Linked DNA regions of Drosophila melanogaster. The protein of the gene in region 1 interacts with the protein of each later gene in a pairwise test. Each region holds a gene or a part of one and is shown on either strand. Other genes may lie near its edges. The genes, in order: ND-20 and promL.

What was found.
Region 2: the proteins of ND-20 (region 1) and promL interact in a two-hybrid assay, tested with the Drosophila melanogaster proteins (one study listed by BioGRID).

What each region holds. Positions count from the first base shown.
Region 1 is NC_004354.4:15,982,640-15,990,085, reverse strand, and holds ND-20 (NADH dehydrogenase (ubiquinone) 20 kDa subunit), read left to right. Parts: upstream 1-3,277; 5' UTR 3,278-3,348; exon of another isoform or gene 3,349-3,402; 5' UTR 3,403-3,409; coding exon 3,410-4,075; 3' UTR 4,076-4,613; downstream 4,614-7,446. Other genes in the region: CG46312 (uncharacterized protein), read left to right, coding at 136-232, 610-658; eIF5 (eukaryotic translation initiation factor 5), read left to right, coding at 1,257-1,469, 1,542-2,018, 2,097-2,801; Slc25A46a (solute carrier family 25 member 46a), read right to left, coding at 4,721-5,492, 5,548-5,895, 5,959-6,072, 6,135-6,166.
Region 2 is NT_037436.4:3,118,240-3,136,488, reverse strand, and holds the start of promL (prominin-like), read left to right. Parts: upstream 1-8,764; 5' UTR 8,765-8,836; intron 8,837-9,272; exon of another isoform or gene 9,273-9,463; 5' UTR 9,464-9,622; intron 9,623-13,323; exon of another isoform or gene 13,324-13,471; intron 13,472-14,474; exon of another isoform or gene 14,475-14,547; intron 14,548-15,289; 5' UTR 15,290-15,418; coding exon 15,419-15,821; intron 15,822-15,882; coding exon 15,883-16,030; intron 16,031-16,088; coding exon 16,089-16,217; intron 16,218-16,274; coding exon 16,275-16,462; intron 16,463-16,525; coding exon 16,526-16,690; intron 16,691-16,754; coding exon 16,755-16,885; intron 16,886-16,940; coding exon 16,941-17,276; intron 17,277-17,336; coding exon 17,337-17,446; intron 17,447-17,509; coding exon 17,510-18,249. Other genes in the region: CG11537 (uncharacterized protein), read left to right, coding at 3,449-4,180, 5,285-5,380, 5,453-5,977, 6,042-6,250, 6,311-6,397, 6,466-6,563, 6,630-6,902, 7,066-7,163.

The DNA.
Region 1 (7,446 bases):
TTTTGCTTTGACGTTTCAAGCAACATCAAATATACAATAAGGTCCCGTACAAATTCCAATTCGAATGCAGTTTTATTGGCTTCCAACGTGTGCGTTAAATGCAATTACATTTCGTTTTATATTTGTATTTTTCAGAAACACCAGCAAAAAAAACCACACTTCTCATTGAGAAAAAACGGAGTAAAGGGTTCGAGCTGTGCATGAATTCAAAAGGGCGAACCAAAAATCACCGGTAAGCACAAATCACTGATGACCAGACCATTAAGTATTGCTGATTCAAGTCGTACGACGTTTTGTTGCAATGCACACACTCGGGGTTTCTACGATAAAAAAATCTGGTATTCAAATTAAATTCGCTACTGTTTAATACGAGGGGCCTTTTTTACCTTGGCTCACATATGTGGCTCCAAATGCATAATACTGTAATACCCGATAAGAATTGATTATATTTGCAAGCAAAGGGAAAGTGGTGCTAAATTGCATTAAATTATACGCTGTAGAAACAGCACTTCGGTGGGTTTTTTTTTAAAGAGAACTTAGCATAATTAAGTAATAAGCATTGCATATTCGACTCGATTAACCAAATCTATTTCATATTTGCCTTCGCAGGACTTCGAGTAACAGACATCGGAAGTTACAGCCATTCAGGTACACATGAGCCTGCTCCTTCTCCATTTTTTAAAGACTTAAACTGGTAAATTTACAATATAAATAAATATATATATGTATATATATATAAATATACAAATATATATATAGATATATATGTATATATATATGTATATATAATTATTCATATGAATTCGGAAAAAAATAGAATAGCTGAATACCTACCACGGCGAAAATAAACAAAATCTTCAGCAAAATAAAAGCAAAGCCATAACCTTGCAAAAAAAAAAGAAGAAAAAAACAACTTACTCTCAAGCAATTCTGGCCGATTCTTCAAATATATTCAGTACACCCGTTGTTTGATTAGAGCACAATTAATTCGCCGTTCCGGAAGGACACCAATTCCTGCTTATTCTGGATACATTTGTTAAGTAAGCAGCAGCGGCAACTACTCAAAATAAAAGAACATTTAATGAACGGAAACGAAAGTTGGATCAATCACAAACTAGCAGAAAACCTGAAGCCAATTACTTCCCATCCACCAATAACCAATAGATACCACTGGCCACCTCTAACAGTAGCAACATTACCCGAACAACAGTAATACCCATTATCAGCATTATCTGTGGAGCCGAAAACCTATCAAGATGGCCACCGTAAACGTAAACCGCAGTGTGACGGACATCTTCTATCGCTACAAGATGCCACGTCTGCAGGCAAAGGTCGAGGGCAAAGGAAACGGCATTAAGACCGTGCTGGTCAACATGGCGGAAGTGGCTAGGGCCATCGGACGCCCGGCCACCTATCCAACCAAGTACTTTGGTTGCGAGCTGGGCGCCCAGACGCTGTTCGATCACAAGGTATGTGCACGGATAGATATCCTATGTTACCCATGAGCTATGCTCCCATTAATCACTATTAATTTCATTCAGAATGAGCGCTTTGTTGTGAATGGATCGCATGATGTGAACAAGTTGCAGGATTTGTTGGATGGTTTTATTCGCAAGTTTGTGTTATGCCCCGAGTGCGACAATCCGGAGACCAATTTAACTGTGTCGGCCAAAAACCAGACCATTTCGCAGTCTTGCAAGGCATGCGGCTTCCATGGTCTGCTCAAGGTTAACCATAAAGTGAACACATTCATTGTGAAGAACCCCCCGTCATTGAATCCGGCCGCCCAAGGATCATCGCTAACCGAGGGCAAACGCTCGAGGAAACAGAAGCAGAAGAACGATAACGCCGATGGCTCCATGACCAATAACTCTTTGGCCAACAACTCTGGCGGTGAATCAGATGGCGGCAACGGCACAAATCAGGCTAGCCAAACTGAGGCCGAGATTAGCGCAGCTATTCCGGAGAAAACAGCCAAGGATGACGACGATGAGGGATGGAGTGTCGATGTTTCGAAGGTACGTTGTTTAATCCGTATATACTCGCAATTAGCTTAAAGAGCTATTCATATGTATATTACTACTCCACCCCGGTAGGAGGCTATTCGTGCTCGTTTGCAAGATCTGACTGATGGTGCTAAGGGTATGACTATTTCGGATGACTATGATAAAACTGAAAAGGAGCGCATTGATATTTTCTACGAGTTGGTTAAGGACAAGCGGGACAAGAAGCAATTGGATGATGTGCAAACTCACAAGGAGCTGGTGATTGAAGCCGAACGCTTGGATATTATTAACAAGGCTCCATTGGTTCTCGCCGAGCTGCTTTTCACTGAAAACATCATCAAGGACGTGCAGAAGAATCGCCCTTTGCTTCTTCGCTTCACCCTCAATAATCCAAAAGCACAGCGCTATCTAATTGGTGGAGTGGAGCAAACTGTAGAGCTGCATAAGGGTATATTGATGAGCAAGGTTGCTGGAATCTTCAAATTGTTTTATGATCTGGACATACTCGATGAGGCCGTCATACTGGAGTGGGCACAGAAGGTTAGCAAACGACATGTCTCGAAAAATATTGCTGCCGAAATACACGAGAAAGCTATGCCATTCGTTCTCTGGCTGAAGAATGCCGAGGAAGAGTCCTCCGAAAGTGAGGAGGAGGAGGACGATGAATCCGAGGAGGATAACTACGTTTCCAGTGCCGGCCAACGTGGCGGTCAACGGGTCGTCCAACGCGGAATTCCACGCGCTGTTGCAGGCGACGAGGATGACGAGGACGACGTGAACATCGACGATATCTAAAAGGAATCAAAAAGAGAACAGCTACCCTAATCCAACCAGTAATATTTTAAAAGGGGGAAAATCAAGCGAGCAAGCATAATCTACAATTCAAACTGAAATATAAATTAGCGAGTTAAATCAACATGTGGTTTTTTTTATCTTTAGTTCTTAAGAGTGCTAATCGTATTTTGAGTCGTCGCTTTACTACCATTCAATTGTTTGCATAACATTTCCCAAGCCGCTGTAACAATAGAATTACACCAACATATTACAAAATAAAGCAAACAAAAACATTAATAACTACTTTTTTACTTGCCTTTTGGTCAGCTTAAGCTATGACCTTCAAGCAAGTTGATTTTTTTAGCCAACCATTGCGTTCATGTGGGAAAAGGGCATAAAGTTCATGCTGCCGCAAGTGATGTGCTTGTGTGAGAATAGGATATCTAAAGTAAATTCGTATTTTATAGTATATTTTCCTGGTGCATTTGGTATTTTAGTTAGTAGTTCGGCGGCGGTCACATCATACGCATCCCCTATAAATCGAAATAAGTTGAAGTTACATAAATAGGTATTAAATGTTTAAATGCCCAGTCCTAGTATAACTACAGATTTACTTTAGCAGGATCAACATGCTGCGTTCGGCGATGATGTCATCGACCCTGTCCCGGGCTCTCCAAAAGGCGACTCAGACACCGAATGCGTCGATTTCGGCGCTGCCCGCTCTGAATTTGGCCCTGGTGCGCCAACAACAAACGCTTCCAGTTGCCGAAGTGGCCCAAAATCTGCCCAAGAAGGGCTACTCTCCGTTCGGCACCAAACAGTCCTCCGTTGCGGAGTGGTCACTGGCCAGACTGGACGATCTGCTCAACTGGGGTCGCAAGGGCTCGATCTGGCCACTGACTTTCGGTTTGGCCTGCTGTGCCGTCGAAATGATGCACATCGCTGCTCCGCGTTACGACATGGATCGATATGGTGTTGTGTTCCGTGCATCTCCACGTCAGGCCGATGTCATCATCGTCGCTGGCACGCTGACCAACAAAATGGCACCGGCCCTGCGAAAGGTCTACGACCAAATGCCCGAGCCACGTTGGGTCATCTCCATGGGCAGCTGTGCCAACGGCGGCGGCTACTACCATTACTCGTACTCCGTCGTCCGTGGCTGCGATAGGATAATCCCCGTCGACATATACGTACCCGGTTGTCCGCCAACCGCCGAGGCGCTCATGTACGGCGTTTTGCAGCTGCAGAAGAAGGTTAAGCGGATGAAGACGCTCCAGATGTGGTATAGGAAGTAAGGCAACGATCGGAACTTATATTTAAAATGTGAAACATCAAACGACATACGATTTTGCGAACAGAAATCATATTAAATATCGTTCTGTTAACGTTCAGTTGTTGTATACATTGTTTGTTGGATCACGAGGATATTGCAAATAAATGCCTTTCGATATAAATACAAACATTCAAGCTGTGCTTCTGTATCCAAACGTCAGCTTGAATCGTACGTGTGTTTGCCAACGGTCGTAATGAAAATCGTGAATTCGAAAAAAGTTTTGTTTCCCTTCAAAATGAGCGTGAAGTTAACGGCTCCTTCCTCTTTTTTTTATCGTGAATTGTATACACAACCATATCATTTAGTTGTCATAGAAACGATCGCACCAACCACAGGACAATCTGCTGTTTTTACTTAATTTTTCTGTATTCATTTCAAGGTCCTGACGTTTTCGGGACACAAAGTGCAAGAATATAAGCTCAGTTTAAAGTGTTTAAAATAGTTATATTTTTTAATTGGCAGATTTTTTTTTAACGCAACTGCAGAGTAAGCAAACCCTTAAAATACAATTATTCATGCTAACGTCCCAATAAACCCAACGAAAAATACAAAAAGAAATAAATATTTGTATAATTTACATATGCAATATAATTTGACTAGCCATTAACTAGTCTTGTGAATTCTGCCCAAGACTAATCTCCCCCATTTCGGTACTGGAAAGGCTTGGCGACAAGGTCGTGGACCTGGAGTTGCAAGCATTCTCATCCAGATTATAGTAATTCACTATTCGCTGTGGTGGTCGGTTGGAGATGACCTCTACGATTTGATTCACAACCCATTTGGTCAATTTGATGACGGCCACGTGTGCCGCAAACTGCAGGATCATGGCTCCAAAGCCCTTGTAGAGGCCACTAACTCCCTCGGAGACAATCGTTGTCTGATAGCAATCGACGACTCCTTGATAGTTTGTTAGAATGGGTACGACATCGTAGCCATTGTCGAGGTTGTCGATTATAGTTCGTGTTCCCTGCAATTGCAGACGGTGTAGAATCGTTTCGAACGGGAAGAACATGACCTCAGTGGTTATGATAGCAATAAGGCTGGCATAGATGTCCGCATTCTGTTGTTCCAGCGTGGTGTCCTGATACTTTCCACCCTGGCCGTCCTGGGAATTCTTTATACGAAGCCGCATTATGCGTGAGGACACGCCCCGTATCACGAGATTAAACAGATACTTGGTGATGCCAAAGGAGACACTTGGCCCGATTAGAGCCCAGGCTGGTAGCATACGGCCCTTTTGCGGAGAGCTCCAATAAAACAAGCGCAGACTTCCCTCCCGGAATACATCGAATAGACCGGGTTTCTCGCTGGCAATATCACTCTGCACCGTTTCGACGAGAGAAGCTGCATAGAAGGGCACCACCAGGCCGATACTTATGCTGTGAATTGAAAAGGAATAAGAGAATGGTCGAGATTAGGGTGTCAAGTGGGTACCATTTGAGCAGGAGATGCTGTCCGAAACGCTTTAGCGTGGTGCGACTATTCACATCCTTGGGCCAGCTGGTCACCTTCGAGATAAAGTCGTCGATGGCCAGCGTCATGCCGCGCACCAGTAGGCAGCTGCCCACGCCCTTCCACAGGGTCGTCAGTCCCTGCCTTCTGTGCAGGTGGACGATGCTGGGCAGAAGCTGAAAGGGATGCAAATGATAGCGTCTCGAGGCATTGTACACCTGGCACTGGCGGCGCAGCACCACAAACGGATGGCTAAGCAGGTTCTCGGTGACCAGGGAGACCCACTGTACGCCGACGACGTCCACAATCGCCTTCTCGCGCTCTTCAAGGCTGATTAATGGGAATTTATATAATTTAACAAATGAATTGATTTCGGATTCATTTCGGATGTACCTGCTTCCCAAGTGTTTGCTAGGGCCATAGGTCACGGGTAAATGTTGATCCCGGTCCCCAGTCCGATGCTCCTTGCCCAGGTGATCATCGTGCGTTTCATACTCCGCTTGAAATCTATAAATGGATGATGTTTATTAGTATGGCATCGTGATTATATATTATACCATTTTACATACTTTAGGCTAGAGTACTCATTCATTCCCGCCATAACTTTTCGTCTTCTTTGCTAGTTGGATATTTATATTATTAACTATTTTCAGGCAGGACTGGGTGGTGTTTTAAACATAATATCCAATTGTTTTGAAGTATAATTGGAACAATCCTATGGTAATTACCGAAACAAAAGGTCTTACTAATTTTGGTTTGGTATTAAAGCTTTCGGTGCGTTTCCACAGCGTCACATCTTATCAAAATAAGTGAAATCATTATTTTCACACTCCTAGTTAAGCATTATCTATATGTTTGGATATATGTTTGAAAAATATGAATTTATGAATCAGTTGTTTTTATATTGTGCATAAAAATTAAACATGCAGTATGAAATTGGGAATTAAACTATATTAAATTAGTAAACTCTTTTAAACCCGCATAGAATTAAAAACCCCAATACTTGAGTAATACCGCTCATTAAGAACAGCTGTTTGAGTAATAAATCCTTTTTAATGTCGCTACAATGTATTTTAAACGAAACCTTTATAATACTCCTAATCAAATCATATGCCACCCATTTTGTACAATACCTTATGTTCATTTTTTTAAATATTACAGTCAATTCCATGAATTTTTATACTTTAGCTCTCCTGAAAAGAAAATTGAATACCTTAATTTATTAAAAATGCTTCAAAGCAAATTGAATACCTTAATTTATTAAAAACGCTTTAAAACCAATAGAATACCTTAATTTATTAAATATGCTTAAAAAGAGGGCATATTAAGCTTGTTAATCAGGATCCTGAAATATCATTTTTGGTAATTGTGCATAAAACAACATAGTTTTCTAAAGAAAACCCTTGAAACGCTAACGAAAAGGTAAGGGAATCTAAACGAAGGAATCAATTTTCATGTAAAACGAGCATAAGTGGAATTTGCCCGAAATAAGGACACACCACACCCTTATTTCTCAGGTGTTTTCCTGCGATAGTATAACGACAGTATTAAAACCATGGTATTTTCCTTTTGAGGCTCTGTTCGTCTGCTTTCGTGGTGGAAAGGACAGGGACCTGGAACCTGGGAGTCGTCGGGCTGCGCGGACACGCAAACTCGCTGCAATATCCTGTTGCCAACCAGATAATTGGCCAGCAACCCACGTTCGGAGCATGCTCCGACATGGACACACGCACATACTGAGTGGTATAGCGATGACTCAGTAGGTATTTGTATTTTCATTTTTAGGTCAAACTGCATCCGATTATTCTGGCATTTGCTCCGCTGTCGGCAGGACTCGCTAAGGAATAGTATGGAGAACTATGAATGTCAAATCCGAAAAGT
Region 2 (18,249 bases), on another chromosome or scaffold:
CCGCCAGATTCCTATGCTTAAGGATTCAAGCACCTGCCAGCCCAGGGACCCACGCGCGATAATCTCTGACTTGGCATGTGGCAGGAAGCAAGCAGAAGGAATCGGGTAGCAGGATATTCCACTTTGGGGCAACTTCTGTGCTGCCTGTGCCGCCAGTGCTCGGTGTCCTTGGAGCCTCGGGCTTTGGCCTACTTTTCAATAAGCCACAACAATGGAGTTGCCAGTTATTGGCCATTGTCTGGTGGTCTTGGCATTATTGCGAAATCCAAATCGAAATCAAGTGCGCCACGAGCGCAAAATTTCAATGTGGAGCAAGTTGTAACTTCGCCAAAACACAATCTACGAAATTTGAATAAAATGCCGATTTATGAAAGCATTCCTTGCATATTATTGGATTCTCTCAAATGAAGTTGAAACAAATGTACAGGCTTGAATTTCTAAACTAACATCATTTGCCTACCGATGCAAGTGCACGAGTTTTCAGCCTAACAATATATTATAGAGAATATTTTTTTTTTCAGTGGCATTAAATGCATTTTAATGAAGTTCAGATCGTATCACAAATTTCGCTGGCCTGCGAATACCTGAGTGGCCCCCAACTTGACCCTGCCAACCTTTTTCCCATTTGAATTTTTGCGTGTCCTGCGGGAGGGCAACCCATCGGATGGATTGCCCATGACCGGCAAGATTAATTAGCAAACCAAACCAAAAATTCGCAACGCATTTCAGTCGAGGGCACGTTATAGCCACCAGTCGTTAGCTCACAGCCCGTTTTAGCCGGCTTTTCAATTTGACAGTGCCCAGCCCAGCGACAAACGACTAGCTAGTCACTTTTTTGTGACATTAATGAAAGGAAAACATGGAAATGTATTTTCCAGCATGTCTCTTGCCAAATCGTTACGCCATCGTGCTGACTTGTTGTCAGCTTTTTTCCATTGTTTTGCTTTTTTTTTTTGCCGTGCCTGCAAAACGAAAACGGATGCCTGTTCCCTCCCGTTCGTCCTGTTGTTTTACTTTTCGACGCTCCTGTCAAGGTCGTTCCTAATGCCTTTTGATGCGACACATGCAGGCCCATGTGTTGGAAGGGGGGGGGGGGGGGGTGCAGATCCTCCGGTTCATTCTCCCCATGATTGACTTGGCAGCTGGCGTTTCCCTCTCGGACAACAGGCTGTCCAAGTCCAATCCCTTGTCACTTGGCCAGTCGCGGAAATTGAATTTCTGAAGCGCCTTCGGTCTCCCGGCCTGCACTTGACCCGATTGCCGTTTTCTCACGGACTGCCCGGTCCGGCGGGGTCAGGTCACCATCACCAGCTCGGTTTAAATGGGTTTCATCTAGCTAATTCCACGCACGCGGCTGAGATTTATGCGCGTCAAGTTCGCGAACTTATCCATTTCGTTCTTATGAGAATTTTACATATTTTGGCGTACCATATTTATAGATAACTAGGCAAAAACAACTTTATTCATTGTATTATTATTTCATTGTATTATTATTCATTGTAAATATATGTAATATGTTTATTTATTTATTATTGAAATAATTTGCCTTTCAATATCACGCACTGTAGTTTATGTATGTTTACATGTTTTATAGCATAGAATCCCCCGAAATCAACCTCATCGGATCTTTTCGGCTCCGTCATCCTGAGACTTTATTGAGCCAACACAAGTAGCCAGCATAATTCCAGAGTGCTTGATAACAATAAAATCCATGTGGTCGGATAGCAAAAACATTTCCATTGTACTGGGGAGCACTGCTCATTTGCTTTTAACGCGAAACTTTCATCATCGTTGTCAAGTTCATCTATGTGATATGTGCGACAATTGCTTTTGGGCATTTTATTGTGCTTGTGAGGGGTATTTTTGCCATTTGGGATAATAGAATTGTTAATTTAATAGAATTTGAAACTTTGTAAGTCACAATGGCTGTAAAGTACGTGTGCTTGGAACTAATGTTTTGATTTGATCATACTCTCGTTTATAATTAACATTTAAACAACCCAAATGCAAACATATAATGCAAATATATTTTATATATATTATATATATTTATATTTCGGACTTGTATTTAAAACGAAAAATGTATTCAAATTGCAATGGATATCTTTCATTCGATACTTCAAGTTCAAGTATCTTTTCTCTATCGTGTGCCTCTGCTTGTGACTCTTTTGTAAATAAGCTTCACAGCAGGTGGACATGTGTTTCTCTCTGGGATTCTCTGTTGCTCTGCCGAGCTTCCGCTCACTGGAAGACCGGAGAACTGGCGAATCGGTGGGCTGGAGAACCGAGTGCCCAAGCGATCCAATTTAGTGAGTCGCGCACATCGAAACGCAGCAGACGTCGCTGGTTTTTTGAGGGGGGGAACAATCTCGATATCGACAGCGTCACAGTTGGAGATGTTTTTGATTCACATGTTTGTCAAAATTCTAGGTGACTTTTTTTCGTTAGTCGATTTAATTGAAATTTCAGAGATCGATATTCGCGCGCGTGGTGTGAATCGCTGTGATCTGACGTGAGTCCAGGCATCCAAAAGTCGGCGGGTATGTGATTGTTTATTCCACGTTCTGCGGACCGGACAATTCCCAGAAATAATTCGACCCATCTGACATGACCGGAAAATTGCTGTGAACTGCCAGGCAGCGCCGACTTGATTTTCCATTCATTTCACTTTGATGTGCCTCGATTTAAATTGCTTCGTTTGCTCATTTCCCTAATGTTGATCGATCTACTTTCGAGCCTATCCAAGCTTGCGACTGCGATTTACACCAGGGTGTTAAAATCGCCACAAAGCACTGACATTAAGTGGCTTTTAGCGCGATCTTTATCTTTTTCTGGGCCAAGTAAGTGTGGATAACACATTTAGATTCCGACAAAAAGCAGCATACTTTGCGGCGCCTTTAAGGATTAAAATCATTTTCCAAATATAAATCACACATATTTTTCGAGTTATTAATTTACTCTAGTAGTTGCATACAACTTTTAAACGGTTTTTCATTAAACAACAAACAAACAAGAGTGTTCAGTACGGCGATGTTTTTAGTGTGTTGTTTTGCCAACTTAATATTCCTAGGGAACAGCTGAAAGCAAATCGCGCGTTTCGCATGAATTCAAATGAGTAAGAGCCATTCGGTTGGCCAACTTTAATTGCAGCTAGAGAAGTGCCTCAAAGTGAAACGTTGCCAGCGGAAACAGCGTGTTTAAGCCAAACAAATGATAAGATAGAACATCGCTTCGATCGCCGCAGAAACGAGGAGATAAACGGAGTGGTGGAGTGCAGAGCAGTGGAACGGATCGTATCCCCAAAATCACAGCCGAAATCATCATCACCACTCACCGCACATCGCACATGTTCGTGGACCCGTGGCAATGGAAATTAGTGTGATAAGCGAACCCACAGAAGCACTAGAAACCAAGAGGGAGACACGCAGCTAAAACGGATCACGATACCATGCGCAGCGGGCGGAGCTATGGCCAGCGGCAGAGCGACACGTTGGAGAGCAGCTTCGAGCTGGAGGATTCCGAGGCGGAACAGGTCAATTCACCGGTGGCAATCAAGGGAGAACCATCGGCGCACGGAGATACAGATCGGGATGGGGATGCCGATCGAGAGCGGCAGGAGTCGGGTGAACAGACGGACAGTCTGAGCACGCGTAGCAGCAGCTCCACGCCGACAACGGCGGACGTGGCCGATGTGGAGACGATCAGCTCCCTGCCGCTCTCACCACCCGCCTTTGGCGGTCGGGGCAATCAGCTGGTCAAGCGTCACTCTCCGCTGAAGGACAAGCAGGCAGAGCAGGCGGACAGCAGCTCCAGCTCCAGCTGCAGTCAGCAGCCCGATGCGGACGATGTGCCCACGGTAAGTGGGTGCGATCTGCGGCAGAGCCCGCCCTCATCTTCGTCCTCCTCCTCCTCAACTTCCACATCCCCGCAGACTTCGCGGTATGCAGCTGCAGCAGCACATCCCAGCGCGGCATTCGCGGAGACGGCGATCACCGCGTCGTCGGGATCGGGCCGAGTGTGCGGCGGTAGCGGAGGAGCCGCCCACAGGCGCACCCACTCGGCCGCCTCCTACATCTCGATGAGATCGCAGGGCGGCAACTCGGAGGCGACTCCGGAGCGACCAAAGCGTAACCGCTTCTTCGAGTGGATTCGCGTTGTGTGCAACATCTGCTGCTGCAAGGTATTTCATAAAAAACACACACTTTTCAGTTAAGTTAACCCATTTACTGATATACAATTCCATTCACTGATGTTACTTGTTATAGGTAATGTAGCTACAAGTTCACTTAAGGTTTATTATTATGAATAATCTAATTTTTTAAAGGGCTTTACATAATTACTCAGACTCAAATAACTTCTGTGTAATTGGGTTTCTTTCACAATAGCCAGATAAGATGTACCATATGTAAGATAAACTCGATAAACGTTTAATTTATCTAACAGATAACGCTTATCTCAAGACCTTGTCCACATTTAATTGGAACATGGAAAATTATTGTTTTGATGGAGAATATTGTTAAAGAAAAAACTATTTGTTATTTGTTATTTATTTAAAAGCTCCAAAGTAGATAAATCATGTCAATATTTCTACGTTAAAATAAGTGGGATATTAACGAAACTAAAAATTAAGAAACAATCGGATTGCTCCGGTTATTAACTTAGTTTTCTAGTTAATTGAATTCAGTAAATACTGAGCCTCATTAGATGTCATTCTCTTCAATACAACAATACAAGTTTCCAGTTAATTAGCGCTAGTAATTAATAATTCAATAGGGACTTATTAAGAGTCACCTTTAACCCGAGTAGCTATTATATTTAATTACAATATATTCTTCCTTATTCGATCTTTTCTGATCATAATGAAAGCTTCTTGACTAGTTTAAATATTAACCGAAATCATTTGGGTTTCGTTTTCCATTTATTGAAGCGCGACAAAACAAATCAGTTGCCGGCATTCCGAATCCATGGCCAGCCGGACTCGGGTGACATTGGTGCAGTTAACGAGCTCAAACAGTTTCGCATTTAGTACAATTTGTTTTTAGCTGACGCGGGACTCAAATGTTTACAAATAAAGGCGGCCAGCAATTGGCCGGGGACTCAAAGGGTTAACGCGGCATTGTCGTCGCCTTATCAACTGGTTGGGTTCAAAACGATGACGCACTCGCATGGGTGCGTCCGCCAGTGCATCCTGCTATTATGCCAATTGGCAGCGGGCGCGTCACTTTAATTAGCCGATAGATATCTAAATTATTACTAATGAGCTTTCTAATTTCTAATTTCACAGAGTTCCGGAATCGGGGAGCCGAGTGTTCATCATGCGCTGGTTGTGATATTTCTAGAGTTCTTCGCCTGGGGCCTGCTGACGATGCCCATAATATCGGTGAGCTAACTATATAACTATATATGTTTTATATACGTATCAGATTTTAACTCTTTCCTCTTTTTCGCACAGACTCTCAACCAGACGTTCCCGGATCACACATTCCTAATGAACGGCCTGGTCATGGGCATCAAGGGGATCCTGTCGTTCCTGTCGGCGCCTCTGATCGGCGCCCTTTCGGACATCTGGGGCCGAAAGTTTTTCCTATTAGTCACAGTATTCTTCACCTGCCTGCCCATACCGCTGATGTCCATCAATACGTGGTGGTTCTTTGCCATGATCTCAATAAGCGGCGCCTTCGCAGTCACCTTCTCGGTGGTGTTTGCCTACGTGGCGGACGTCACCACGCCGGAGGAGCGATCAAAGGCCTATGGCCTGGCCTCGGCCACATTTGCCGCCAGTCTGGTCATCTCGCCGGCTCTGGGCAATGCCCTGATGGAGATGTACGGAGACACGCTGGTCGTGGCCCTCTCCACGGCCATTGCGCTGCTCGATGTATTCTTCATACTGGTGGCCGTGCCGGAGAGTCTATCAGAGAAGATGCGGCCAGCCTCCTGGGGTGCGCCTATCAGCTGGGAGCAGGCGGATCCATTTCTGGTAAGCTGAAGCTTTAACCTCTGAATTCTCTCAAACTAGTTTTATGACACTGTGCTCTTTTTAGGCCCTGCGCAAAGTGGGCACCGATAAGACCGTGCTGATGCTGTGCCTCACCGTGCTGTTATCCTATCTGCCCGAGGCAGGGGAGTATTCCTGCATGTTTGTCTATCTGAAACTGAAGATGGGCTTTAACTATGTGGAGGTCTCGGTCTTTATAGCCATAGTAGGCATCCTCAGCATCACGGTGCAAGTCACACTCGGCTCCTTCATGCAGTGAGTTTAAATTTCTTCAGCATGATTTTTTCGGTGGCTAATTACATGCTTCTTTCGCAGAGTGTTTGGAGCCAAGCGCACGATTATAATGGGCCTAGCCCTGGAAATCGTGCAGCTGCTGTGGTACGGCTTTGGCAGTCAAAAGTGGTGAGTAATAAATATCTCAAATATCTTAGAGGCATATCATCTAAATTAAATCCCGCTTCTTTATTCAGGATGATGTGGTCGGCTGGCGTTGTGGCTGCCCTGGGCTCCATCACGTATCCCGCCATCAGTGCTTTTGTATCCCTTTATGCGGCTCCCGAGAGTCAGGGTAAGTAAAAGGGCTTGAACTGCTCCATTCGAAAGATCTTAGCTGAATCAAATGTCACAATTTCAGGCGCTGTTCAGGGCATGATCACGGGCATGAGGGGTCTGTGCAATGGCCTGGGTCCTGCGGTCTTCGGCGTCGTCTTCTACCTGTTTAACGTCGATCTGAACGACGACCACGACTCGCATGCGAAGAGCAGCGGCAGCAGGGCGACGAACGTGGAGAAGATCTCACAGCATGTGCCAGGTCCGCCCTTCGTGTTTGGTGCCTTGTGCGTCTTCTGTGCCATAATAGTGTCCGCGTTCATTCCGGAGGGGCAGACCTCCACATTGGAAAAGAAACGTAAGGGTCCACAGACGCCATTGTTGATAAGTTCGCCAAGCCATCTAACCATCTTCCCACCCATTGTCCCGGAGCAAGATGCGCCAATTGCAACCTAGTCATGAATAAAATTCCCAGTGATGTGAAAAACACTGTGCTGACTTTCCATTCCGATCTTTCGCAGGTGCCTCGCTAGACGTACAGTACGAGATTGAGCCGGGTCACAAGGCGCCCAGCTCACTGGCGCCGCTCATTCGCTCCGACTCGCTGGCGCAGCTGTAGTGCGCTCCATTGCCGGCGTCCTATCCACACAACTTGAACCCAGCTGGTGGCTATAGATACGTATAAGCAGTGTTAAGGAGTTAAGGATTTTGTAACTGTAAACAAATGCTGTAACTAGTTTGGCTTTAGTTTCCGAGTCTATTCTATTAGGTGCATATATATCGCAGATCAGGCCGAGATAATGTTATTGTTTTGATGGTTAGATCTTCGTTTTACCTTAGTTTCCACAACGCACCTTGTCACACCACAAACCACCTCAGCCCAATTATATTTCGTAATTAATTTATTATTGCCTAAGTAACGTAGTCACATATATTCGATTCGATTGGCCCGTGTGCTTGCCCGCTTTTCCAGCTTCTGGCTTCTGTTTCCGTTTGCAATGCTTTTGCGACTGTTGGTTCTCTTTGGGTTGGGATTACATCACTGCTAGAGCTAATAATGTTTTGCAACAACAACAAAATAACTGCCAAATAATAACAAAAAAAAAACCAAGTAAGTGTAATCCGATATCTTTGAATGAAATCGCGTAAATTCAGCACAGCACAATACTGTATCCCGAATATCGAATCGCATTACTAATTTAGTTCACCCCAAAGCCGTTTAGTTACAACAATTAGGAAGAGGAAAATCCAAATAAACTGAATACCAAGCTTTACTTTGAAAATCGTAGTGATTTAAAGTCTAAACTCTAATGAAATGAATTGCAAATTATGATGAATTTGGTCACAAACTAGGCGACTTTAACCGCAAACCACAAGGTATATACAAAATAAATATGTATATATATTTATATATATAAATAGAGAGATATATGTATGGGTACTGACGACACAAAACGAATGTTTTTAATTTAGCCGATTGCGAAGTTAACGCCTCCGATCATGTGCAACGCTATAGTTTTTATTTTGATAATAACGCAACTTAATGCAGAGCCTTCAACAAAGTCAATGCTTGAACGTGTAGGGAGCACACGTGCATGTGTATGTATAGTATAGTACCATAGATATCAAAGTTATATTTTTCGATGTTGCTACAATCGTGTAAAACTTCCCCACTTGCTCCTCCCCCTCCCATAAATGAAAACATGCAGACATAGGACGTACGTACATACACATCCACCCGTGTGAGCAGTGGACGACAGGTGGTCAATGGAGTAGTGCCCCCGGAAGAAAAATCGGGGGTACATATACGAGAAAACTGAATCCAAATTTTGATTGTAAATTATTTAACGTCTAACATAGTGTTTTAAACGAAACCAAAATAAACAAAATTGTTTAATGAAACGCTAGTACAATGAATTCGAGACTCCTATATCTGGAAAAGGAAGAGGCTAAGTATTGAATCTAATTTGTGGGAACTGTGGTTAAAAGAGCTAAATCTTAATTTATATACTCCTTACGCATTGTGTCGCATTACAGAAACAAGATCCAAAAAAATTTGAATTTAAACTTAGTTTCCGGTTATGATTTGCGTCTCCGGTTAACGGTTTTTTTATAGTATTCTTCCAGGGCTCCGTCGGTTTTCCGGTATACATTTAGTATTTAATTTCGGCGTATTTTTGCGCATTTATATAAGCCACGAACGGGTATTCCCTGGCTCCGCGCACTGTCACATTGGTCCAGAACTCTTTGAAATGCGAAGTTTTTCGATCGGATAAATTTGGAATAGAAAAGGTGAACATCCGGGGCGGATCTAGTCTGAATGGAGCGTGCCTTCGCGTGACTGAAACCCGATTGGCCACGCCTACTGCCACGGGAAAATATGAAAAGCGAGTGAAAATCACAACAAGCGCCAGGTGTAACTGGCAAACAAAGAATGTTTCGAAAGGGCGGTGCAGTGCAGTGATACATACAAAAACAACGCCAACTATATATATATATATATATATATGTATATAAGTATATGTACAACATGTGTGTGCGTGCTCGTTTTAAAATCGCTTAAAGAGACTTACTTCGGATTATAAAATATCCATGTTTTCCATGGAACTTGCTACCAAGAACTCCAATTAGGCCAAAAGGGCCACTGGAAGCTGGAAAAGTGGGAAATCCTCGTTGCGCCAGCGACCTTAATTTTTGTTGTTTTTTCTTTGTTCAACAAACTTTCCCAACGGTTTTGATTTATCTGTTAATATTACCCCAAATTCGACTGGAATTTTACACGATTTAACACGAACAACCATTAGTTTTGTAAAACGAAGCCCAAGTCATTTTTATAAGTTGAACAAGCTGCACTCTTAGCTGTCCAAATTGGGTGTTTTATTGAAAGTCCGGCGACGTAATCCTCCGCTTCCCTTCCAGCATCCGTTGGGGGATACGAGCCTGGAAGTCTGAAACTGCCACCGATCGCTGGATCCTACGGCTAATTGGATTTGGACGCCGCGTCGCATCATCATCATCTTTCACGTGCCCGAGTCCAACAGCCAGCTTAATTGGCTTAGGCGGCGGTTGTCGATGTTGGTGAGTGTCCGTCGGCTCATTTATGCTGTTTATTTCAATTTACCCAGCCCGAGAAGCGAGTTATTCAATTTGCGGTGTCGAATTAGTAGGTATAGCGCCCTTCCTGTCTCGAAATGTATGCTCCGCCCTCCCTTCTCGCCCAGAAATCCCACCTGGCGGCACTGCACTAATTGCTCCATCCCAACAAAACACTCAAAAAAGGAACTCCCGCAGACATAGACACGCACCCGCAGATGTATATACACTATACATATATTTCGGTGTAGATATGTGCCACACATCCCTGACCTGAGATACAAGTGCGTGTGGTGGGAACGACACCCAGCCGAGCGGAATCCGTGTATTTATAGAGTTTCGGGGTCTATTCTATCATTTCCCAGCCACACACTTTGCAGAACTTGGAAGCAGACTCTGAAAAAAAGCCCCACGTGATAGATTTAGCTTGAATAGGCAGAATTATAAATCTAATCTTTACAAAAACGGGAAGCATTTGTTGATTTCATTCGAAATTCGAGCTCGAAGTTGAGCCGAGAAAAAATAATCAAAATAAAAATAGTCAAAAAGCTCAGATGACTTTCAACAGTAAGCGATTGTTTTTGCTTTGTTTAGGATTAAAGTAAGATAAACATTAAAGCAAACCAAACAAGTTGATTCTAACCGACTAAGCGGTTTGCATGACTATTTTCAAATTCCAAAAATAAAAAAATGCAAATAGGGATAACGTTTCCAGAATGACAAGTCTGGGTATAAATAATTAAATGTAAAGCCACTTGCTCAAATAGCACTAATAAACAAGATATGTAGAATGCTAAATCCGAGATGAAAGTTATAAACATAATAACAAACACTGTACTATTATTTATGTATATGAAAACGCAGAGATAAGCGCAGAGTTTCGAATCATTAATCAAATACTCCAAACGCAAATGGAGAACTTATGACGCTGGTCGAAATCCGAAGACAAACGGAAAATGGACACAAGTTCATCCAAGGTTTACAATATGATAAGCGATTGGATAAGCTGGCAAGAAATTTGCCAACCTTCATATCAGATTCGCTGAGCAATGAAGCTGACTCAACTTTCAGTATCAAGATGATATAATGCATCTGCGGGCACGTGAGCATCTTCTGTTTCTGTCAGTGTACATGGCTTCCGTTTCTTCCTAAAAGTATAGCGAACTGCTTCTCGATCGTCTGCACCTTTTTTTTATAACTTTTCAGTTCATTTCCGCCCCTTTTCTCCGACTTCCTTTGTTTGGATTCGTTCAGTTCAGTTCAGTTTTCATCTAAAGAAGTTTACTTTGTATCTGCTTGTGTGATTAGCCCATTTTTCTGCGCTTTTTATCGGGGAGTGAGTCAGTCACGAGAAACGAGTTTTTGCTTTGGCACGACTTCACTCCATCGGCAGGGCAACCTGTTCTCTTGCGATGTCTTTCGCCTCGAACCGCCGTCCATGGACTCCACCTCCCAGCCGGCTGTTCCAAATTCGATGTGGATGTCACTTGGCGGAGGCGGTCCGAAATGAAAAGATGTGGATGCTGCAAAGTGTGTGTTCTCAATTCGGTCGAAAAGTTAGCTGCACTTTTCTGGGGAAAATTTTATATTTATAAACAGATTAATCACACACATCCCACTTGGAATTTGAAGATGACTCTGGGTCATTGTGTCATCTTTGGTTATCTCTGATTCAGACTCTTTCCGGCCTCGTAAATCAGTAAAGTTCAGTGCTGCTATATACTTATGGTCTATGTAAAAATAATCTTAATGGCATCCATTTCATAGAACTCTCGGAGTTCTTGAGAACGGAATTACTAGATAATTGAAGGAATATGTTCAACTCTGACATTATAAGAAAACGTTTTCAATTTGACAACTGCTAGACCACTTATTATTCCAAGTTATCAGCAATGCTGATTGCTGTCATTGGTCGTCATAAAACCTATTTATTCTAGTATACATTCCAATAATAACTGCAGACGATTTACGTTCATGGGAATTCTTTTAAATATTTATTTACCACTCAGCCATTTTTCTTCGGGACTGGCATTGATTATGGCTCTATGGATAGGGGGAGAGCGGTAATTGTTGTTATTAATGCAACCTTCACTTTGTATTTAATTCTTTTGTTTATACAAGCCATAAGCAACCGACGCTCAGGTACCGTCATTAAGTTTATCGTGTTCGGATTCCACTTTTTGCTGATTTAGCCGCCAGCAGATTTTGAAGTACCTTGCACTTGGCGTTTCCGCAGATACAGTGGTCACTCGTTCTATTGGTCCGTGCCTGTGACCCAATACGGGTATCGCCAAATAAGTTTGTTTGTTTAACTTCGTCAACTTTCTCTCGTTCGCGAAAAAAAAACAAGTTGGATTCAATCAGCTGGGTTGGAACAGACAAGCCATTCAATTGCAAGAAATGGATTGTTGCCTTTGTTACGATCTGTTGTTGACTCATTTTACCTAAATGGGAAAATGTATTGCGATATCAAATACCTACTGACGACAATGGGTATATTGAATTCGTAACAGCTCGTTAAAGCTTGAATAATCTGGTTTATTTTGATTCATTCTACGGCTGAGTTTGTTCTGCAAATTAACAGATTGCGAATTGTATACCTTTTATCGCTCTAGTTGTATTGTTATTTGTAAATAGACAGTAAAGTTGATTAATCTAGCAAGTTTATTAGAGTTGTGTCTGGATCTTGTTACTTTCAAAAGTTTAGATCATTTAAAAAACACTTTACGACTCGTGTTGTTGGCAATTTATAAGATTTGGATCCCAAATTCCGAGAATTGTGTACATTTTATTACCCGATTATTAGCATTACTTCGCTTTGGTGTTATAGCCATTTTCCAAATAATAATAAAAATTTTATTGGTCGGTATGACCACCATGAATTTTTCATTTAATTTAGTTGTTTACCTCCTACTTGCCATAGCAGGATTTTTATATTCCGGAAAGTTTGGAATTTTTCATATTGAATGATTTTGTGGTAAATATATGCATGGAAATTATTTAGAATGTGTTCTTTTAATTTCTTCGATTCTATAGAAACCTAGTTTGAAAAACAAATGTTTAAACAAATGCAAATGTGAAAGCTATCGTATTTACTTAAAACAGCTGTCCATAAGACTGCAAACTTTTTTTTGGAAGTTTATTGTGGCCGATATTTGTTTGTACATGTATGCAAACATACTATATATACAGTGTGGTTTATTATGGGCATTTTGCACTATGTAAAACTGAACTCTAACCGGAATTAAGGGCATTTTGCGTGTGGCCTTGCCGAGCGTTTGCCTGTTCCGCCCACTGTTCGAGGGAGTGCAGCATCCTTGCAGAATCGCACTGCGCATGTTCCTGATTGCCATGATGTCCTCCCGCAAAGCCGAGGCTGCAAATTGTTTTGTTTTCTCTAAATTGCTGAGGAGACGCGACCTCTGGCTATGCTTAGGACTCAGCAGGACTGCGATTGTACTGCGAGCTCCCTTCCAAGTGAGATTTTCGAGTAGGGGAATGGCAGCAAACTTCGGGCAGGAGCGGCTTCTGGTTCGCAGCCCGCAGCGTAGCGCGTGTCAAGGCCGTTCAAAGGCTGCCCCACCATGGGGGTATAGAGAATTTTCTGCACAGTAGCGGTGGCAACGCAGCCCTACAGCATAGCAGCAAATGGAGCATCGGTTTTCCAGCGCCTTTAGTTTGTTCCCAGCCAGACAACGCGGCGTATACGCAATCGACACCAAACACTCGCTTGTTTTGGACAGCCATTAAGACCCTGTCAGCAGGTGCAGTCCGCAGAAACGTCTATTTTTACACAGCCATCAACACGTCTGGTAATCCAGCTCTTTCCGGAAAGTAAGCAGGGTATGCTCGTAAAGAAAAAGAGGGACAACCTCGAGATAAGCAGGCGGCATTGCAGTGCTCCGAATGTGTATATAAATACGTATAGTGTTGCGACACTACATTCTGTCGCCGTTTGGGGGCACGACGGGGCCAGGGCGCAAGGGCTAGGCTATAAAGCATAATGCCATGGAAAGCCACCGAGCCGAGGGGGCAGACCCTTGGCCGCTTCCCTTGTCCACTCGCCCACAGAGTTCAATAAACTTGTCGATTTCTTTGTCTGTCTATGGCTGTTGTGGTGCAAAGACAGTCGATGAGTGTAACTGCTGCTTGTTGCTCGCCTCGATGGCCATAAATTTACAGTTGCCAGTGGCGGGTATCAAATGAGCACACTCATTCGTATTCTTGGATCTATGCTGGAAATATGAGCAAAGTTGATAGTGAGTAGGCAGTGCGATCGGAAAATGCTAGCTCCGTCAGCAAATTCCTTATATAAAAAAAATAATAATTTATAAACGCAAATCGTCAGTTGGCCTTGCCAACCAGTATTCTGCAGTCGTGTGTTCAGTATTTTTAATCAAAAATTCACAGTACTTTTTATGGGTTTTAGGAAGTTCTTAAAACGATCATATAAATGGTGAGGATGTGACTAATATCTGAGTAATAAAGTATTTCAGCATTTGATAAAATGTTAATGCAAGTGCATTTAAAATTGTACATTTAATTTAGACATTATTGACATCAAATATTGATTAATTACCTGTGCTTGAAAAATCAAATGTGTTTTTTTTAACGTGATTACACAGCGTGATAACAAGATAACGCTTCATATTCGACATCGATAAGAAGAGACTGCAAGTTTCTTATCTGATAATTTTAAATAAACATGTCGCACAGACACTTTATTCCTTACAAATGTACCTACATAATATAGGTAGGTATATTTATTTATGCGTTTAGGACTCGCACACATAAGAACCTTTGGCAGAAGTTTGCTTTTTGCCGGCAACGTGTTCATGCCTCGATGGCGCAGTTGGCAGCGCGTAAGTCTCATAATCTTAAGGTCGTGAGTTCGAGCCTCACTCGGGGCATGTACATTTTTTGTTTTGTTTTTTATTTTGACATTGCAAATATTGCAAATGTTTTGCCTATTTAGAATATTTCCCCAAGCTAGTAATTTGATAGTTGGGTAATTATGCAAGGCGACTCACGCAATGCTTCCGAGCATAGCTGGTGACTCATGATCTACGGACAAGTGCATTCAACCGACGCCAAAGGGACTTTCACCTCCCCGACAGAGATATAACACCTGCCAACGGTGGGCAATGTGCCAAAGCCGAAGCTCAGTCCTTTGTATCGCCAGTGGCTTGCATTCTCGGGCAGCAAATGCCTGAACCCATTGTCATCTTCTCGGCTTTTATTGACCTTAATTGATGTCAAGTGGATGTGAGATTGTCTCTGGGTGTGTGTTTGTGTGCGCATTGCAATGTGGAACCAATCCTATCCAAAGCCTGTGATGGGATTATGCCCCATTTGCCTGGACACACCAAGAAACAAATATATTTTATTGCCCCGGCCAAGCATTTCTTATTGGACGAGGACATGCTACTGCCACATTAGGGTGTGAGCTCTGCTCTGTCCTCGCCCATTTACATTTAAAAAACGAAAGGAATTTAGATTAAAGATTAATTCGATAGGTGTCGCTTGAAAAGATACACTTACAGGATACCGCTTATGACTGAGATCATCATATGAATGGCTGACAATAAAGTGTGGCTCTATCTTAAAACTAAACTATTTAATTAATCTTGTATTCTATTTTCCTGATTGCAGGCCACTGACGTGTGAAATGGGTGTGGGCTACTACACCGAAGGGAACACGATTAAGAGCAGCAGCTCAGCACGTTAGTCAGTTTGAGGAAGCTTCACCGAGACAGGAAGTCCTTCGAAAAGCAGTCGGCCATGGGTGAAGTAGCTGCCACAGTGGAGCCTCTGGCCGCGGTCAAGTCGAAATCCATGCGATCCCGGAAGAGACGACAGCGTCGTAGGCGACAAATAGCCTACCTGGCCATATGTGGATTAAGTGTAGCCATATTCGGCTTCGCTTTGGCCACGCTGATCCGGCCCACAACCGCCCAGGCTGATGCAGATCCCGGGAGCTGGCGCAAGGGATATGTGGGCCATGGCACCACGCACGAACAGCTTGGCCAGCCCCATTGGCCACCAGTCCAGTACACTGTATACCGGCCGACAACCAACTACACAAAGGCACCACCACCTCCCACGTCCGCCATGAACCCCATTTTCAATTTTACACACTTTCTATATGACAAGGTTCTTTATAGGGATGAACCCATTCCGGAGGGTGAGTGACGTACACATTGGATAAATAAAGGATAAAACACTTATTTCTCTTAATATTGCAGGTTACATTGTCGTAAAGAATTCGGACACTTTGAGCTTGGGTCCCAAAGTGGAGGAGAATGACTGGCGGGATCTATTGGCTCATTATTGGATGGTTCTCATCTGGGTTGTTATTCTCGTGGTGCTCATTATAGTCATACCGTTCATTGCGTGAGTTTTGAGACCATTGATTCAATTAACGTAGATAACCAATATTTGTTCACCACAGCGTTTGCTATTGCTGTTTCTGTTGCTGCCGACGATGTCGACAGGGATGTCCTCCGTGTACCAGTAAACAGGATGCTCAGCGGCGCTTCTGTTGTGGCATCTGTCTGTTGATCCTCATCATCGGACTGATGTAAGTGGAGGCACTTAACCAAGAAAAGTCATATTCGAAATAATCTGTCTTCTGCAGTTTTGGCATCATTATCGCCTTTGTTACCAACAAAATGATTGACAGCGGCTTTGCCGAGACTTCCGAGACAATGAAGCGCGGCAGCGAGGACACTTGCACTTATCTGAAGGATGTAGCCGATCACGTTCACCATCTGATGATGTACAACTACGAGGAGATGGAGACTCATGTGCTTGATCAATTAACCCGTAAAAATAATAATGGACTGCAATCCTTTGATTAGTTATTTAACAATTATACTTTTTTTTTAGACGCTCACCGGCACATATTTTTGGATCTCTCCGACACATCGGAGAGTAATTCCTTGGCAGAAATGGAGCGAGTTTTGGAGAACATGCCCGAGGCTCTGGAGCTGATGAGGCAAGTGGAGAAGATGGAGAAAGATCTGCGCTTCTATGGCTCCCAATTAAGAGATGGTAAGGACTTTTAAAAAAGTCAAAGAGACTGCAGTAAATAATAAAACTATTCACTTTACTTCAGGCGTCCGTGGCATTAAACGAGATGTCAACTTTGCAGTGGCCAATCTCTGTCAACTGCAGATGTGCCAGAAGTTCCTGATTAGCAGCAATATCGAACACATTGATTCCTCGCAATGCCTGCACTTCGACAACGTATGACTGGAACTCAATTTGTAATAACAAAATTATTAACCCCATCGTATTTTAGCTCCCGAACACCAAAGAATTTGTAGAGGGAATGGAGAATATAGTTGCAAGTGAGTATTACGCTATACCTCAACGGGGACTCTCGCGTCTAAAGAAGGTTAGCGACAAGGTGAAGACGCAACTCTCCTTCGTGGTACCACCCATGATGCGGGACTTAACGAAGGGCAGGACAATCTTCCGAGAACATGCGACGAATGTGCGCAACATTGTGGAGGGAGTACTAAGTGATATCCATATAAAAACTCTGCACTCGACTAAGTCATTCGAGGACGTCTACGAGCGGTTTGGCCATGATAGAAACGTTGTCAGCCTGATTGTGTGCTTGCTTATTCTTCTGGTAAGGCGGATCTTAAAGATTCCAATCAAAAGTCTTAACTAACGTATTCCCTTAAATTAGGTACTTTTTATTTTGATCTTTGCTCTACTGTGCGGTTGCTTTGGGCGCCGACGAACTGGATATGGTGATGAATGCTGCAGCAAGTCCACCGGAGCCACCTGCCTGCTTCTGTGAGTAGTTTTAACCGTATTCTGTTCTGCTTATTGATTCATTATTACGCTTACTTATTTTAGAGCCATACTGCTGATATTCTGTGTTTTCTCCTTCATCGCACTGGTTGGACTTTTCTACTTTATGCTGGGTATGGTAACCTACCAGGGTGCCTGTGCACCACTGAGAGATCAGGAGAACAACACATTGTTCCGGCAACTGGACGCGTCTATAGATCTGAATCACTATTTGCCGCCATCTGAAAGTAACAAGGAAGTGGTGCAACCACTAAAAATGTCGAGTGCAATCAAGGCTTGCCACGCCAATCAGACCATTTTCGATATGATGCGTCAGCATAACATATATGACATCAACGATCTGACGCGCATAAAAGTGATGTCACACTCACAGGAAAATACAGATTCGATTAAGGTCTTCGACGAGGACCTGTCCACCGTGGTACTCCTGACGAAGGAAGAACGTGACGAGTTAAAGACAGCGGGCGAGAGCAAGCTTGCGAAGTACCATAGCTCCCTGTACATGCCAAGTCTGTGCACCCAGTTTACGCCCATGAACCTGAACGCCCTGTCCGAGCAGCTGTATAAGCTATCCAACGATCTGGAGTATCCGGCATACGGCTGGGCCAAGGTGTCATTCTGGAATGAGGGCCTCAACACCAAGGCCTTCTATCGCAATTTTGTACCGAAGCTTACGAGCCTCGTAGAGAAGATGAAGGCCAATCTAAAGAAGATCGACGAGTTAATTTCGTACGAGAACCACGACTTTACCAATACAATCAAAATTCTCACTGCCACGGCCATCA